2 linked regions of the Struthio camelus genome follow. The protein of the gene in region 1 binds, or shares a complex with, the protein of each later gene. Links are inferred from orthologs where the notes say so. Each region holds a gene or a part of one and is shown in the gene's direction. Other genes may lie near its edges.

The links.
Region 2: the proteins of NFS1 (region 1) and ISCU are in contact, whole or in part, in a crystal structure (PDB 6W1D), measured with the Homo sapiens proteins. The link is inferred for Struthio camelus from reciprocal best matches to the Homo sapiens genes NFS1 and ISCU. Residues at the interface, in NP_066923.3 of Homo sapiens: Tyr360, Val361, Glu362, Glu364, Ser365, Leu367, Met368, Ala369, Lys371, Glu399, Asp400, His403, Ser404, His429, Arg432, Leu433, Glu435, Met436, Ser437, Pro438, Leu439, Glu441, Met442, Trp454, Thr455; in NP_998760.1 of Homo sapiens: Tyr35, Val40, His42, Tyr43, Glu44, Val49, Gly50, Ser51, Leu63, Val64, Gly65, Ala66, Pro67, Ala68, Cys69, Gly70, Val72, Lys74, Phe90, Lys91, Thr92, Phe93, Gly94, Cys95, Gly96, Ile99, Lys135.

The regions. Positions count from the first base shown.
Region 1 is NC_090959.1:1,433,181-1,441,197, forward strand, and holds the start of NFS1 (cysteine desulfurase), read left to right. Parts: upstream 1-4,948; coding exon 4,949-5,221; intron 5,222-5,257; exon of another isoform or gene 5,258-5,466; intron 5,467-6,016; coding exon 6,017-6,133; intron 6,134-6,652; coding exon 6,653-6,736; intron 6,737-7,867; coding exon 7,868-8,017. Other genes in the region: ROMO1 (reactive oxygen species modulator 1), read right to left, coding at 1,261-1,369, 3,015-3,145, 4,789-4,950.
Region 2 is NC_090958.1:18,833,586-18,841,669, forward strand, and holds ISCU (iron-sulfur cluster assembly enzyme ISCU), read left to right. Parts: upstream 1-5,073; 5' UTR 5,074-5,121; coding exon 5,122-5,205; intron 5,206-5,296; coding exon 5,297-5,410; intron 5,411-6,192; coding exon 6,193-6,303; intron 6,304-6,977; coding exon 6,978-7,056; intron 7,057-7,457; coding exon 7,458-7,555; 3' UTR 7,556-8,013; downstream 8,014-8,084. Other genes in the region: SART3 (squamous cell carcinoma antigen recognized by T-cells 3), read right to left, coding at 1-52, 1,520-1,624, 2,793-2,919, 3,931-4,122.

The DNA.
Region 1 (8,017 bases):
CGGTTAATACTTCTGACTAGCGCAGGCTAACCTGTGCTGCTTTTAAACAGAAACACAGACCACTGCAACATGATGGAAGCAAAGATGAGGTTTGTTTCAGAAGGCAAGTAACAGGAGACTGCAGCACTGAACGTAGCATAGTGTTTGCTAGAGGCATTGCTATAGCTGCTAGTGGATGGTAAGTAGCAATACAACATGTTTTCTCTGTGAGGTTTTGACCAGTTTATAAAATCCATTAAGGAAGGTTGGAGAAAAAGACCATGCCTGCAGCATACAGGTTGTTTGGTGGCACTGCTTGCTTTCATTGATGATGCCCCCTTCCTTGGTAAAGCAAATGGAAAAAACAGCTTTGAGTTCCCCTTACTGACAGCAGTAGCAACTGGCACTGCTCTATACTTCCTTTCTCCTTCTGTGGAAGGGCTGTAGGTTGGAGCATATCTTGCTGCACCCTACAGAACTGTACGGGCCTTCTGTGTGGCAGAACTGCGAAAGGCAGTATATTCCAGCTGCGCTCTTCTCCTTACTATTACATTAAGATACTAACTTACAGAAGAGCTGATTCCCCACAGCACAGACTATGCTAGTATTGATGGGAGGCATAGCAAATGTTTCTCACAGTCTGATAATGAAGTTAAATCTCCTCTGTTTACAATGCTGAGTCATCTTTGTGACTTCTCCCAAAATACCAAACACTTTCAGCTGTCATGCAACAGGAACTATTTTCTCTTACCACCAATTTAATGATTTCCAAATCTTATGACTGCATTTGCAACTGTTCTGTGTTCTTTCCTACTCAGCTGGGGGCATGTGATTCCAGCCTGTCAGAGGAAGAAGTCCCAAAAGCAGTAGTTTGCCCTCAGCAAGTTAAAGGACTTGCCTAACATCCCCAATAGGGAGTTGGTTTTCCTGTACTTTCAGTAAGGGAAAGTCACCCTAGAGCTGGGGTATTTACAACCACACATCAGAAAGGTGAGCTGCCCAAGTAGCAAAGGGAAAAAGCATTTACTATTCTTAGCCTATGAAATATGAACTGTAACACAGTACAAAGGGTTATTAGGAGGTCTCACTTTTATGGGAGTAAGGGAAGTGAGGAAAACATTTGGTAAAAAGCAAGCTTACAATCAACAAAGCGAGTAGGATAATGCTTCACAATTTCACATGAGGAGCACTCAAAATTCCAGGTATCTAAAGATTTTATTATAGTACAGAGGAAGAACGGCTGGACAAGGACTCTTCAGGTTAAAAAACCCAAGCTCCAAGTTAGCAGCGGATTCCCATACCAATAGCCATGAACGTCCCAAACGTCCCACCGCTTTGCATCATTGTTTTGCCAACTCCACCCATCAGTTCTCGTCCTCTCATGCCAATCCTGAGAGAAAAGAAAATGTAAAAATTGTACAGAAGTTGAAGCCCTGACAGGTGACGGACACACACAGAGGTGAAAACGTTTGACACAACCAGCTGATTATCACAAGTGGCCAAAAATCAATGTTTAAATTTAAATTGGTAATTTAAAGTGGTATCTTCAAGTTTCACAAAGACTGGCTGCGCTGCACTGTGTCTGACCTACTGCAAAGAAAAGCAGAGCTGTTTTCTTTGAGACACTTCAGTGACTCACTCCAGTGGTCCACGTGTATTTTCTTCTGTGGCTGTACTAGCTGACCCTGTACCCTCCTGCCCTGCCGTTTCCTTGTGTCAGCATAGGGATCTGCGGGGCTGTGCATGAGGGACCCGCTCAAGACAAACGTAACAATGTTTCCCCCTCAGCTTGTCCAAGCACTTCCATTCCCTGACTCCACAAATGGATGTGCTGACAACTGGTAGCATGCTGCAGAAAGAGGAAAAGAAAATGGGAAAAAGAGGAGCGGGAAAGGCTTTAACTGCTAGTGCCCCACGCATCCTTATTTTGGGGAAACAAAGCTTAGTTCTGGCTGCATATTTGACCTGCCAGGGAATAAAAAGGATCTGAACTGTTGAATCTTAGTCCTGTCTGGCTATATAGGCAGTAGTTTTAATACCATCAACTTGGAAACCACGTTGTCAACTAATTTCCCATGTACCACTGACACTGTATTTTTAATATGAGAGAAATTTAAAAGGCCTAGAAGTCTTCAGATGCGCTTTTGTTCTCCTGTTCACATTTATTTAAGGTTGGACCAAAAAAGTGAACTGTTTCTTAGAAAGTTCTTGAAATACTTGGCTTTTAAGCGCGGCAGGGAGTGTAGTGTCTAAGGAATTCTGTGTACGGCTTTTCAAAACAAAGATTTTTCCAGAACAATGGCACAACAGAAGTAACGTAGCTGCGTTCCATTTTTCAAGTATTACAGACCCACTGTCACTGCTTCTTTATACCATACAAAATATATTTGCTACTAGCACAGTACCATTTACAAACATGCTGCAGGATCTGAGAGGGATCAGAACATTTTTAAATTTAAATGTTAAGATTAGATTTTGTGCCTTTTCCTCCTTTTCAGGGGCACTACAAAATTATCACCCATTTTTAATCACAGGTTAAAAAATCTCAAGCACAAGGAGTTGTGCAAAATATTAGAGTTTACTTTAGTAACTCTTTTTAATGGATGATGTGTACCAAAGCCAGCCAGAAAGTAGCACAAGAGGTAACTCGGCCGAGCAGAGACCATTCTTTGTTTCTGTGTTGGCATGCTGGATAGCATAAGGGGCACTCGGGCTATTACCTCTCCCCAGTTTACGATAGGACTGTGCCACTGACAGCCACCAATTCAGACTGGGCTCCTGCATTCAAGACTCCAGGTCAATAAGATAACTACGTCCATGCAGGGGGTGCAGGGAAACGGGACACGCAAATCAAGCAAGATACAGATCACTGAGAGCTTGCAGAATACCTCAGACAATCTTTAGAGCTAAGACATGGCCGTGTACGCACTGCCGTGGGTCCAGATCATTCGTTCGGCTCTGTTTGAAACTGAACGGGGAATATTTCTCTCTGGCTGTATCGTTACCTGTCCAGGAAAGCCATTTCTGCGACATACCTGAGGCAGGAAAACGTGCCAAACAGCGCTCCTGCTGCCATGCCTACTGCAAAGCCCATCATGAAACCCATTTTTATTCTGTCAAAGCAGTTGGGCTGCGATTGCCCATATGGGCCCACAGTCACAGGCATCTAGAAAAGAAAGCACAAAAGAAAACCACAAAAGGAACATGGATCTACCACTTTGTCTAATCTACTTCTAGAACCAAATTGGGCTGGATAGCAGCAGTTGTGAGGTCCTTACGTACCAGAGCCTCTCACTACTGTAGTACCGTAGGCAAACTGACTAGCTGGCAGCCCAGGCAGGTCACTGAACTGGAACGGGATTGCAGCCTGTCAGTTTATTAGCAAAATACACTGGAAAGGCCCAGTTCTAGTGCCCTGGGTTTTCCCTCTCTCTGCAACTCGGAGCAGAAGACACGCTGTAGGAAGGAAGTTTTTAAACTTGCTTGCTCACTTAACAAATAGGAAACAATAGCAAAGAAACGCCAATACCTTGATGACAGCCCTGTTTTGCCGTCAGCAAGCCTCTGTGAAAGCCACTATGTTTCTGATAACTAGTTTGAGGTCCCTCACTCGGGACCGTCTGTAAAGCCCTTCTCTAGGGGCTGGAGCGCACTTCTGTTTGGTGTCTCCCAACGAACAGGCGGGGCCCCCTCACAACGCCTCTGCCACGAGGCTTGCTGTCCCAAGGTGTTTTCACCTGGGGCTTTTCCCTGTACAGTTCGGAGAGCAGAGAAACGGGAAAAAACGAGTCTGTGCTACGGGAGTCCAGCACGAGGACGTCTAAGGGAGCAGCAGCTCCCGTGACCAACCCCCGCGTCCAACACGCCTTGCACGGCCGTTCAGGGTCGCACAAACTGCCAACTTGCTGCTCGGAGCAGCGGCGCTGCGCTCTTCTCACTAGTAACGTCTCTAACCTTCCGGAGCAGCTACTTTCAAGAAAGAACAAAACTGGGCTTTCACCACGTCCATGCTGCACCGTTTTAGCCGGGCTGCGCACACCACGATCAGTAACTCATAGCAGAGGCCTCCCCAGCAGTCCCGTGACACCACGAGCTTTCCAAAAGGGCTGAAACAACTGGGATCTTACGCTATTTCGCAAAACAGAAACAGACTCGCTATTTCTCTCCTGACACGCTGCTGAAACCTCTAGTTTCCCTGTCATCACCCGGGCTTGAACGCGCAGAACCGCGTTACTAAAACAGCGAGGCTCGCAAGGCCTCCCTGGGGGGCGCCGCCGCTCGCAGGAGAGGCTGGATAAACCGGAAAGCAGGAGCCTGCTGCCAGCCTCCCGCCCCTTCGCCTAACGAAACGGTGTCGCGGCCGCGACCGGCACCCGGGCGGCGAAGTCCTTTAACCCGGAGCTCGCTCGCCCCCGCCGCGGGCTTCCAGCCGCGCGTCCGGCCTCCGCGCCTGGCGGGGCGGCTCCCGGCCGCCAGCGGCCCCCGGCCAGCCCCGAGCGCCCGGAGAGGCGGCACCCACCCCCCCCGACCCCCCCGGCCCCGGCCAGCCCCGAGCGCCCGGAGAGGCGGCACCCACCCCCCCCGCCCCCGCCCCCGGCCAGCCCCGAGCGCCCGGAGAGGCGGCCCCCGCCGCCCCGGCCCGGCCCCCGCCGCCGCCGCCCCCACCCCCCGCCGCCGCCGCCCCCACCCCCCCCCCGGCCCGGGCCGACGCTTGCTGTCGAGGCGCCGCTGAGGCCCGGCGGCCCCGGCCGCGTCGCAGCGGCACCACCAGCGACGCCGCCCGCGCAGGGCTGAGCGGCCCAGCCGTACCTCGCCCCTCGCTCGCCTCGGTGCGCCCTCCGCCTCCTGCCGCTCGGGCCTCCCGCTTCCGGCGCGCTCCGTGGCACTCCCGGAAGGGGCGGGCGGAGGGGCCGGGAGCTGCGGCGCGGGCGGGGCCGCTTCCGCCTGCGCCCCGCAGCCGCGCGCCGCCATGCTGGTGTGGCGGCGCCTGGCGGCCCTGCGGGCGGCCCGCGGCCCCGCGGCCCGGCGGCTCTCGGCGGCAGCGGCGGCAGCGGAGCCGGCAGCGGGACGCGGTAAGGCCGGGGCTGCGGCGGGGAGGGCGGCGGCGCGCGGGGCCGGAGCGGGCGCTGCGTGCCCGGCGGCCGGCGCCCCATGGCGGCTCTCCCTCTCCGCAGGGCAACGCGGCGATGGAGGCGGCGCCCTGCGGCCGCTGTACATGGACGTCCAGGCCACCACCCCGCTGGTGCGTGCCGGGCCGCGGTCTGCGCCTCGCCGCCTGGGAGCCGGCCCCCGCCCGGCCCTGCGCACGCTTCGCACGGGGCAGGAAAGGCGGCGGGCGCCGAGGGAGACGCTCCCTGCCCTTGTGTTTCCTTCTTTTCCTGCGGCGCTCGCTTCCTGAGCTTGAAGCGCTTACTGCGTTTCTTCTGACGGCTGCTGCTCGCCAGCATCGTTTACAATGAATTGCGGTTGACAAACGTTTTTATTTTGGTAACGGAGGAAGTCTCGGTCATCCGGGAAAAGTCTTTGTAGTGCCATGACGACAGTCTTGTCCATCATCTACTCTTACACGTTTCCCAGGGGATTTTAGAGACTTAGTGCATCTTCTTAACGTTTTGTGGATGCAAGATGTGGTAACGAGAGGAGTCATGTTACAGCTTAAACTAAAACTAGCCGCGGTGGGCGTTGTTTGGAGGAGAGATGAGGAAGTAATATAACTAACTTTTTTTGTTTTTTGGTGTAATTTCTATGAGTTGTTAAGATTGTGTATCCCTTCTCCTCAGCAAGTCCAGTTCTTCTGAGATCATCTCGGTACAGACCGAGGTTGCCAGATTACTTGTTGTGTTTGCCAGATCCTTGCAGGGCATGTTGTATGGAGTACGTGCAATGACCTTAAGTTGTCCCGGTCTGGCCTGAAATGAAGAGAGGCACTAGAGCAGAAGTGCTAGTTCTGGGCTATAAGGAACGGTACTTGTGCCTAGAGAGGAAGGAAATGCGCCTCATTTTCAGTTTTTAAGCTTGAGCTGTTTGTGTCCTGCAGGATCCTAGAGTTCTGGACAGCATGCTTCCTTATCTGATGACCTACTATGGTAACCCTCATTCCAGGACTCATGCCTATGGGTGGGAGAGTGAGGCTGCCATGGAAAAAGCAAGACGGGTGAGTGCCTTCAGCACTCCAAAGGTTCACGGTTTTCCTGCTGGTGAAGAAATCGAATTTAAAAAGAAAATCAAAAGCAAGAAAAAACTGTTTTATTTAGCTGTTTCTCTGTGCGCTGGATTTAGCAACCTCATTTCCTTTAGTATGCTTCTGCAGTAACTGGGCTAATTTCATGCTTTATGATTATAAATTGATAAGATTTTTTTCTCCTAATCTTAGTTATGGGTCTTTGTGGCTTATTTTGGATGTAGTACTTACTCGTTTTCACATTTTAAACTATTATTCTTTTATGAGAAGCTAATGCTTAATACCATTACTAATGTTGACTTTGATTTCCTTATATATTCTGTATTAATGGAGATATTTAGACTGTTGTATCTGTAGTGCCGTTTTGTTAGGCACTGGCTATAATTGTTTCGAGGCTCAAGACTGTGTTCTAGAAAACACTTTGTGTTTTTCATATGGTGAATTCATTGCATGTTAGAATAACAAATCATATCTGTGTTTCTCTTTAAACAGCAAGTGGCAGATTTAATAGGAGCGGATCACAGAGAAATTATTTTTACCAGTGGTGCTACAGAATCAAATAATATGGCAATTAAGGTAAAAGGTTTATACTGGTGGCTGTTTAGTACAGCTGTTATTGAATCTGTAAGGGCTTTGTGTCACAGATCATGCTGTTAAGAACCATACACACCTCTCAACAGTTTAAGTGTTAATTTGTTGACCTTGTTAGCATGTGTTTGTTTTATCACTGTTTGTTTTATCACTTGCCATATTCTGCTAGATAGATGGAAGAAATATTGGGATGGCATGCTCTCTAGGGCATGGTTTTGAGGGCAGGGTATAACATGTGATGTTTTGTTTTCTTCTAAAAATGAGCTTATGTGATGGGATTTGTTCTCTGGTGAAAAGCACCTCAGCCTTCTGCTATTGATGTAATTAGTCCATAAAATTCTTTAGGTTGACAGTTTTCCATTCTGATGCTAATTTAAAGATATTAGAATTTTTTGGTTAGATCTGAACAAAATTAAAATTAGTTCATGGTATTTTTTTGTTTTTTTTTTTTGTTTTTATTTTAACTGGAGATAAAATGTATGTCTATCTTACGTGCACTAAGCACAGTACTTCTGCTTGCACGATTAAAACATTTATCGTGAAGTACGGCAGAGATGCTGATTATGAACTTTTTTCTGACTAAGACTAGTTAACATTTTAACCTTTAGCGTAGTTGTATGTGGCTGTTCAGATTTTTCATTCCATATGATTTCATAAGTTTTTAAAAAAAGGGTTTCTATTGATAAAAAATATGTAGAATTTTTATCTAACAACTTTTCAGACTTTTTTGAAAACTGAGATGCTTTTGAAAAATGAATCGTGATGCAAGTATCTAGTGTAAATGACATGTTATTGCCTTTTAGATTCATGACTTTGGGGCAGAGAAGATTGAAATGGAATAATGTCTGAATTGTAGTTTTACAGCATAGTTGAGTAATTAATTGGAAAAGAAAAATTTTCTTCCTCTGAGTCAAAGTTACCTTCTGGCTTCCTCTGAGTAAACTGTAATGCTGCAGAATGGACTATTGCTAATTCTCTTGTTTGTTATGCATGAGTTGTTTCAGCCTGTACCGTGTAGTACTTGGTCTAGTTTCTTGTTTATGAGGATTTTATGTAAAGTTTGCTCTCTTCAGCAATTTAACAGCAAATTTCTTGTTTATGGATTGTGCATGACAGGGTGTTGCACGATTCTATAAATCCAGAAAGAAGCACATCATTACTACCCAAACAGAGCACAAGTGTGTGCTGGATTCTTGCCGTTCCCTGGAGACGGAAGGTTTTCAGGTCACATATCTGCCTGTTAAAAAAAATGGGCTCATCGATTTG
Region 2 (8,084 bases), on another chromosome or scaffold:
TGTCCGATGCCACCAATTGAATACTGGGCATATTCCAGCCAAATTTCAGGACCTATAAAGATTCGTGAGAAACAGATAACCTAACCTCCTCAGACAAACAAAAACATGCCTCTACTTCCTGAACACCCATCACTCACAGCATACAAACAGACCAAGATACGTGAATTGTCCTTATCACCCAACGTAGCGGGAGGGAAAAAAAACCCTAAATTCTAGGGACTTGTATCAGCACCAGCAGCTAAAAATTTCTCTTCTGAAAGAGGTCACCATTGTGGTCATTACTGGCACTGACAGACTCCATTTGCCACCTCTGGCATGCAAGCTACATTAAAGAGGTACATCAAGAGTGCCCGACAGCACTTCTCTCGAGCACGTGCACAGAGCTGGGACCACGAAGCTGTCACACTCCTAGAGAAGTCAGAGATGAAGGTAGGTCCTCTTTCTAGACTCCCATAACTGCCTGTTCAGCCACTGCTTAAGCAGCATAATTATGAAGGCGAGGAGGAGGTGCCAGAATGGCCTTAGCTTGCCCAGCACCCATCCCTCCAATAGCAGTCCTCGAGCAAATCAAGGACCCTAGTAGAGATGATCAACCAACAGATGTTACACTGCAAAACTCAAATTCCAAAAAAAGAGTCTTTCCAAACCCTAAGCACAACCCATTCAGCAGATGGGTCTCTACAGTCCTTCTTCCTGAACCATCAAAAACACCCTGCAGCGTCAGCTGCGCTGGTGCAGTAACGTGACACTTTATGTATAGCTTCTGCAAGTGATTTTCCTCCAATGCTACCATGTCCTCCCTCTACTACTCATTTCAGGCTACCTGTTTTCAGGGGATTGTCACCACAACACCCCAAAAGAATAAGATTCTTCAGTGCTTCAGCTCGGCACACGGCAGCAGTGAGGTCCTGACAAGTGGAAAGACAAGGCCCCACACACTTCTCTCCTTCTTAATGAAAAGGCACTAGCACTGCAGCATGGCAAGAGTCACCTATTTAGCAGGGTTTTGAGAATGCCGTCTCCAAGGCAGTATCTGCGACCTGTTCCGAAAGAGCTGTCACACAGTGGAAACAACAGTAAGGGCAGCAGTAAGCAACACAGAAAATGACTGCAGAAGCCAGCCTTTTAAAAGCATTCTTCTTCCAAAAAGGAAGAGCTAAAGAACCCTTAATGGGTAACACAGGAGGCACTGTCTGCAGGTAAAAAGTTGATGAAAAGCCAGCAAAGTATGCATAATATTTGCTGCTTTTTGAAATCAGAGAAATGTGAAAAAAGCATTTACAATTTTTTGCAACATCTTTCTAGAAAACCTTAGACTGCAGTGGTACATGAAGGCCATTTAAAGCCAAGACTTGTTAATTGCTTTGCTACAGAAAAACTGAGGACTATTTCATACTAATATTTTGATCCATTTTCTGCATTATAACAGCAACAGGAAAAGGAAGAAACTCTCCTGGAAAAGGAAAGCCATAACCCAAATGCAACACTACACCTTTTGTAGGATATATTAACAACTTACAGATGTAGTCCTTCACGGCTCTCTCAAACAGCTCATAAACTTTCTCTCGCTCAGAGCTTTCAGAAGCCATTTTTATCTCATCCTTCAACCAGTCCAGCCAAATTTCTGAAAGCAAGAAGTTTAGAATGCATCACCAGCATTCAGAAAGATTAAGTCAAACCCACTTGTTGAATATTGTGGACAGATTTTAAGTCACATTCCTTAAAAAAACAGAGGGAGGGAAGGGGGAGAAGAGAGCGAGTTTGGCCTCCACAATTACTCAGGCTTAATTTAAATGAGAAGTCCGGTACAGACTTTTCCAACTTGGTACTAAAAAAGTACATTTGTATTTTAAGAAAGCAGAAGATGCAAACAGTGACTCATCAACACCTTGGGCAGAAGATCAGCGTGGTGCCAGCAACCAAAGAGGCATAAAGAGATATATCTTTCCTGAAACTTTAAGAACAAAAAAGTAACAACAACAACAAGCACCACCCCCGCCACCAGTAACCAGCACTACAGGCTGCAGAGTTCCTGAAACATAAAGGGGAAATCTTCCCCTGCCTTTGCTAAAAGGAAAGTGGCAGAACAGCCTCTGCAATGTTTATACCACCTCGGAATTTGTTACGAATTTAAAAAGGGGGGGGGGGGGGGGAAAGACACACACACCAAGGGCTATCTACAGCTTCCACTAACATAAATTGCACAGGAAGGAAACAAAAATATTAACTTTTGACAGTCTGTCTAGGCTCTGAGTCACATTCACTGAAAAAATGACTACAGCCATTTCCGTACCGCCATCCCTCAGCTGTATGTTACCAACCCCATAGCAAAGCGAGCACAAGCAAACACGCGCCTGCTCCTGGGCTGCAGCAGCTCACACCCTGGCAGCAAGTCATCTTCTCCAGCAGCTTAGGCTAACAGGCCATAAACTGGAGTAGCTGGGCACGCATGCATGCGCGCACAAACATGGACACGTACCCTCCCACCAGTTCCGTTATACAGCAGTAACCTCTGGCAGAGGACAGCACAGGCAGTTGCAAGCGGTAAAAATTTGAATTCCTGCAGTGCATCTGCCAGAGCCCAAGGTCAACGCTGGCCATCAACACCAACACTGCTCAGAGTTTAAAGAGTCCCCAGTCTGCTCTTTTGGGCTTCTTTGGTCTGAAACTTCAGTGTCGAGACCTGACTATTTCACTACTGAAACTGAATACTGAAACATTTCACTACTACATTTCACGCAGATGGTGCTTAAATAGCAGTAGCTGCAACATTAGCTGAACACGTTCTATACCTTCAGTAAGCGGGAAGAGTTCACTCATCTTCTGACGAGCTCTTCTGAGCTTTACCAGCTCTCCCTCCTGGCGGAGCAGTTTTATCAGATCCAAGTGACAGTTGTAGTCAAAAGCATTGATAGAAAGCTTTAAAAAAAAAAAAAAAAAAAAAAAGCCTTTTTCAAGAACTGTTAAGTGATGGACACGTAGAAGTCAAAAAACGCTTAGCAGAACAGAACACCATACCTTCTTTCCAAGCATATGAATGTCATCATCTGTTCACACAAGAGATACAGCACCTACCTTCCTACAGATAGTGCCAAACTTCGCTACCAATTGCGAGATACTTTCCATTCAGAGAATTCATAAAAAACTGCCAAGTTAGGCAAACCTTTAAAGTTAAGTTTTTAGGGCTAATTTACTGTTGAATAGCGCATACTCTGGGGTCAGAAGCACAGGACCACTAGCTGCAAAAACTGACCAAAGACATCATTGCCATTGCAAAAGGCGACAGCACACACCTAAACAACCTCAATGTCACCATCCGTACACAAAGCAGATATTGACCACAAAGCCTTCTTCAGTAAGGAAAGGTTTTCAAAGCGTTTTTGTTTCTTCCATGGCAAAAACAAACAAACAAAACACGCGGGCAGCAAGAAGAGCTTTTTCGATGAATAAAGCTGTTCATTCACCAAGACTCTCGTTCGCAGTCTTTTTGAAAAAACCTTCCCCTCCCCCCCAAAAAACAAACAATCCCCCCTCCACACGCATACTTTAGACTCCAAATACTCCTGTCTAAACAGAATCTCAGCACCGCGCTACATGAGCGACCCTAGATTTTTTTTTTCCCAGCATCGCTGCGGATGTTTCGTTAGCCACAAAAGGGAAAGTCAGCGCGCAGGGGGGCTCCGCGCCCTGCTTGCCTAGAGGGAAGGCGCCAGTTCCCAGGGACGAGCCCCGGCGCGGCCGCCCCTCTCCGCCGGGCCGCCCGCGGCCGCCGCGTCTCTCATGGCAACGCGTGCGGCGGAGGCGGGCCGCCCGCGCAGGGGCCGGCCCGGGCGGCGAGGCCTGCGCCGCTCCCCCGCCGGCGCCGGGCCGAGGAGCTGCCCCGCCGCCGCCGCCCCCTCCTCACACGCCGCCAGCTCCCGCAGGCCTCACCTGCTCCTCCAGCCGCTGGATCTCGGCCTCGTTCTCCTTCTCCTCATCCTCCCCGTCGCCCGACGAGTCCGAGTCGCCCCCGTCCTCCGAGTCGCCACCCGACTCGGGATCGCCCTCCGGTAACCGCTTCTCCTCTTCCTCCTCCTCTTCCACCGCCGCCGCTGCAGCCGCCTCGGCTCCCGCCGCCGCCATCTTATGCAGCTCCCTTCGCAGCCAGCGCCGCTCCGCCAGCCGCCGGGGCTGCCCGCGCCGCGCCTAAGCCGCCGTCACGCCCTGCCGCCGGGCAAACCCCGCGGGGAGAGGGGCGAGCCGCCGCCCGCAGGGCCCCGCGCTCCGCCGCGCACCGGCACCGCTCCCGGCCGAGCGACTCCGGGCCGTCCCGCTTGCCGGCTGCTGCGAGGCGCAGGCATCGCTGCGGCCACCTCGGGCCCTGGCCGCCGGGGGGCCTCCGAGAAGGTCGGCGCGGGCCCGGAGCGCGCGTGCGCCGCCGGTCCGCCATGTTGAGTGTGGCGGTGGCTGGCGGGGAGCCCAACCCCGCCCCGGCCGCCAACGGCTGCTGCGCCACACTTCGCGGCCGAAAAAATAAAAAAAAAAAAACACCCCGAGCTACTGTTCATCCGTTTTAGTGACAGCGTTAGGGTTCTTGAAGACGGCCCAAAGCGTTCCCTCTGTTTACGAGATGGCTTTCCTCGCGTCCGGGTTACATCACCGGCGCGCTGCCCGAGGCGGCCAGATAACGTTCGCGTGGGCTCGGCCGCCTATCTTGCCCGAGCACGCGTCCCCCGCGCCCTCCGCCAGGCTGCCACACCGCGCGCCTCTCCCGGCACCAGCCCCGCCATGCCGCGGAAACAGCGGCGGACGGGGCGACCTGACGGCACCTGAGGAGCCTCCTGCGAGGGGGCGCGGAGGGGCTGGGGGAACCGCCGGCAACGTAACCGTCGGCTGAGTACTTGGGGGGGGGGTGCACCGAAGCGTGGGCCAGAGCCAGCGTCCGGGGAGAGACGACAGCCGAGAGGGGAAGGGGCTCGCCGGGAGCCGCCAGGCACGGCCCGCCCGCCCCGCTTCTGCCAGGCCGCTGGCCCAGGCCCGTGAGGAGCGCGGCCGCCCGCGCAGCGCCCCGCGGCCCCGCCCCCTCCCGCCGCCACACGATAAAAGGGCGGCGCGGCGCGACCCGCCCCCGCGCGGACCAAGATGGCGGCGCTGAGGGCGGCGGGGGCCGCGCTGCTGCGGCCCGGGCGCGGCGAGGCGGCGGCGAGGTTGGGCTACCACAAGAAGGTGAGGGGCAACGGGACGGGACCGGGGTGGGGGGGAGGAGGGCCGCCGCCGCCGCGGCGACGGGCTTTGGTGACGCGGTGCCCGCCCGCAGGTGGTGGACCACTACGAGAACCCGCGCAACGTCGGCTCGCTCGACCGCAACGCCAAGAACGTGGGCACCGGCCTGGTGGGCGCCCCCGCCTGCGGGGACGTCATGAAGCTCCAGGTGAGCGGGAGGGGAGGGCCCCCCCTTTCCCCCCCCCTTTCCCCCCTTCCCCTTTCCCCCCCTTCCCCCCCTTCCCCCTTCTCTTCTCTTTTCCCCCCCTTCCCCCCCCTTCCCCCTTCTCTTTTCCCCCCCTTCCCCCCCCTTCCCCCTTCTCTTCTCTTTTCCCCCCCTTCCCCCCCCTTCCCCCCTTCTCTTCTCTTTTCCCCCCCTTCCCCCCCCTTCCCCCCCTTCTCTTCTCTTTTCCCCCCCTTCCCCCCCTTCTCTTCTCTTTTCCCCCCCTTCCCCCCCTTCTCTTCTCTTTTCCCCCCCTTCCCCCCCTTCTCTTCTCTTTTCCCCCCCTTCCCCCCCCTTCCCCCCCTTCCCCCCTTCTCTTCTCTTTTCCCCCCCTTCCCCCCCTTCCCCCCCCTTTCCCCCCTTCTCTTCTCTTTTCCCCCCCTTCCCCCCCCTTCCCCCCCTTCTCTTCTCTTTCCCCCCCCTTTCCCCCCCTCCCCTTCTCTTCTCTTTCCCTTCTTTTCTCCTCTTCCCCCCCCCCCCCCCCCCCCGACTTGTGACCTTGGGGCTCCTCGGCCGCAGCGAGGCCTGCTGCAGTTTGGCCTGCCCCAGGGACGGGCCTGGTCCTGTCTGTCCCCCCCCCGCCCCGAGCCCAGGCAGGGCTTGTCGCTGCTCCCCCGGGGATGGGTGTGAGTCAGGTGCTGCCCCCCCCCCCCCCCCCCAGGGGTGGTTCAGGGGTGCCCGGTGAGGCAGAGCCGGCCCCTGAGGTGCTGCTGCCGACGTTCCCGCAGGTGGAGGTGGACGAGAACGGGAAGATCATCGATGCCCGTTTCAAGACGTTCGGCTGCGGATCGGCCATCGCTTCCAGTTCGCTGGCTACGGAGTGGGTTAAAGGGAAAACGGTAAGGGTCTCTGTGGAGGCAGTGCCGTGGAAAGCGTTTGAAGTTTCAAGCCCCACTGTGTTGGGGCCACCGAAGAAGCGGAGGCCTGGAAAGCGCTCTGGAGAAGTGGTGCTATGTAATGTACTAGCTTAGAAAGCTGTGCCTGAGAACTCTGTCCTTGTCAGTGGCCTGGCTTCTGGGGCAGTAGCTGTCTCCTCCAAGAACCTGCACTAATTTGCAGAGAAACGCTTTGTGGATTATACAGCAAGAAAAACAGATTGCAAGATCTGGAAAAAAACTTTTAAAACCACATTTTTCAGATTACTTACCCCCTTTTTTTTTTGGTGAGTTCATGGGTTTCAGTATTGTGCGGAAAAGGTAAACAAACTTAAAACAATTCCTTAGTCATGTTCAGTCCATAACACTAGCATGTTTTGGTTAGTTAACACTGCTGCTTGGCTTGAGGCATTCCTTGAGATTGTTACTTGGCTGGCACAGAAGAAAACTGGATAGATGTTGAGGGTCTTTCTCGTGTTAGCGTGTTGTCCAGCGTCCTTTGCTGCCAGGGGCAGTTGAGATATTCTTTGTGGATTCTGTTGGCCTCTGGAGCCTTAAAGCGCTCTTCTCACAAATACGTTTGGAGCCTGTATTATTTATCAGATGACTAGTATCTTCACACTAACTGTATGTTTCAGGTTGATGAAGCTTTGAAGATCAGGAATACAGATATTGCTAAAGAACTTTGCCTTCCTCCAGTCAAACTGCACTGCTCTAGTAAGTAAAGGACTAAGCTATTAAAGTCCAAAGACAAGTTTGTGGGAATAAGACTTCTGGCAATAGCACAGATGCTTCCAAATGTTATTGTCCAAATCAAATACCTGTACCTGGAACAACTGAGGCTGGCCTGCAAGAGAAAGTAGCTTATATTCGGGCTTTGGGGTGACATTACAAGTTTCCAAGTCTGTCATCTTTTGGGTTTTGTGTAGCTCAGAAGACTGGTGACAATAAAAGGTCTGACTCCTGACTGTCTGCTTCTAAAATACTGACCCTGTTCTCAAACTCCTACGCTAACTTCTGTGGGGTTTACTGCTGCTGGTTTTACTGCATATTGTGTTCAAAATGACTTCTCGCCTCTCTTGAAATAGTTGTAAGGCCTCGTTTTGTTTTCTTTGTAGTGTTGGCTGAAGATGCAATCAAGGCCGCCTTGGCTGATTACAAGCTGAAGCAGGATCCAAAGAAAGAAGAGTCGGAGAAGAAAGCAAACAATGCCTAAACTGACTGTAGAGCTTGTTCTCATTCCACTTAAATTTGCAGTGCAATTACTCTAGCTATTAGTAGGATCCTGTGCACTACTAAATGAAGCTGTAAGATACGCACAACTTACGCACAATGTGTCACTGTTCCATGTGTGTTAAGACACTTGTAGTGCTTAAGTGACTGGAATGTGGGTATTTCAGCAGTCTGTATCCTATCGTGACTATTCTTGGAAATATTTGGGTGAAGGAGACTGCTTAACTGCAGACAGCTATAGTGGCTTCTCTCAGAAGTGAAAATTCTGGTGTTCCAGTGCTGGAATGGCTGCACTTTTTGGAAGATGTATAGTTTTGCCTAATGTTTTACAGAGTTTAGTGGGAACGTTGCCTTGGTCTTAATATTTATGTAAGAACTGCAGGTCAATTTATATATCAATGCAGTATACAAATGTGAGGCAGTTCATCTGTCTGCAAACTACAGCTGTGTCGGAAGTTTCATTTCACAATCAGACCTGTTCCCTCTCATGTGCTTTCTCCTGTGCTCAGTTC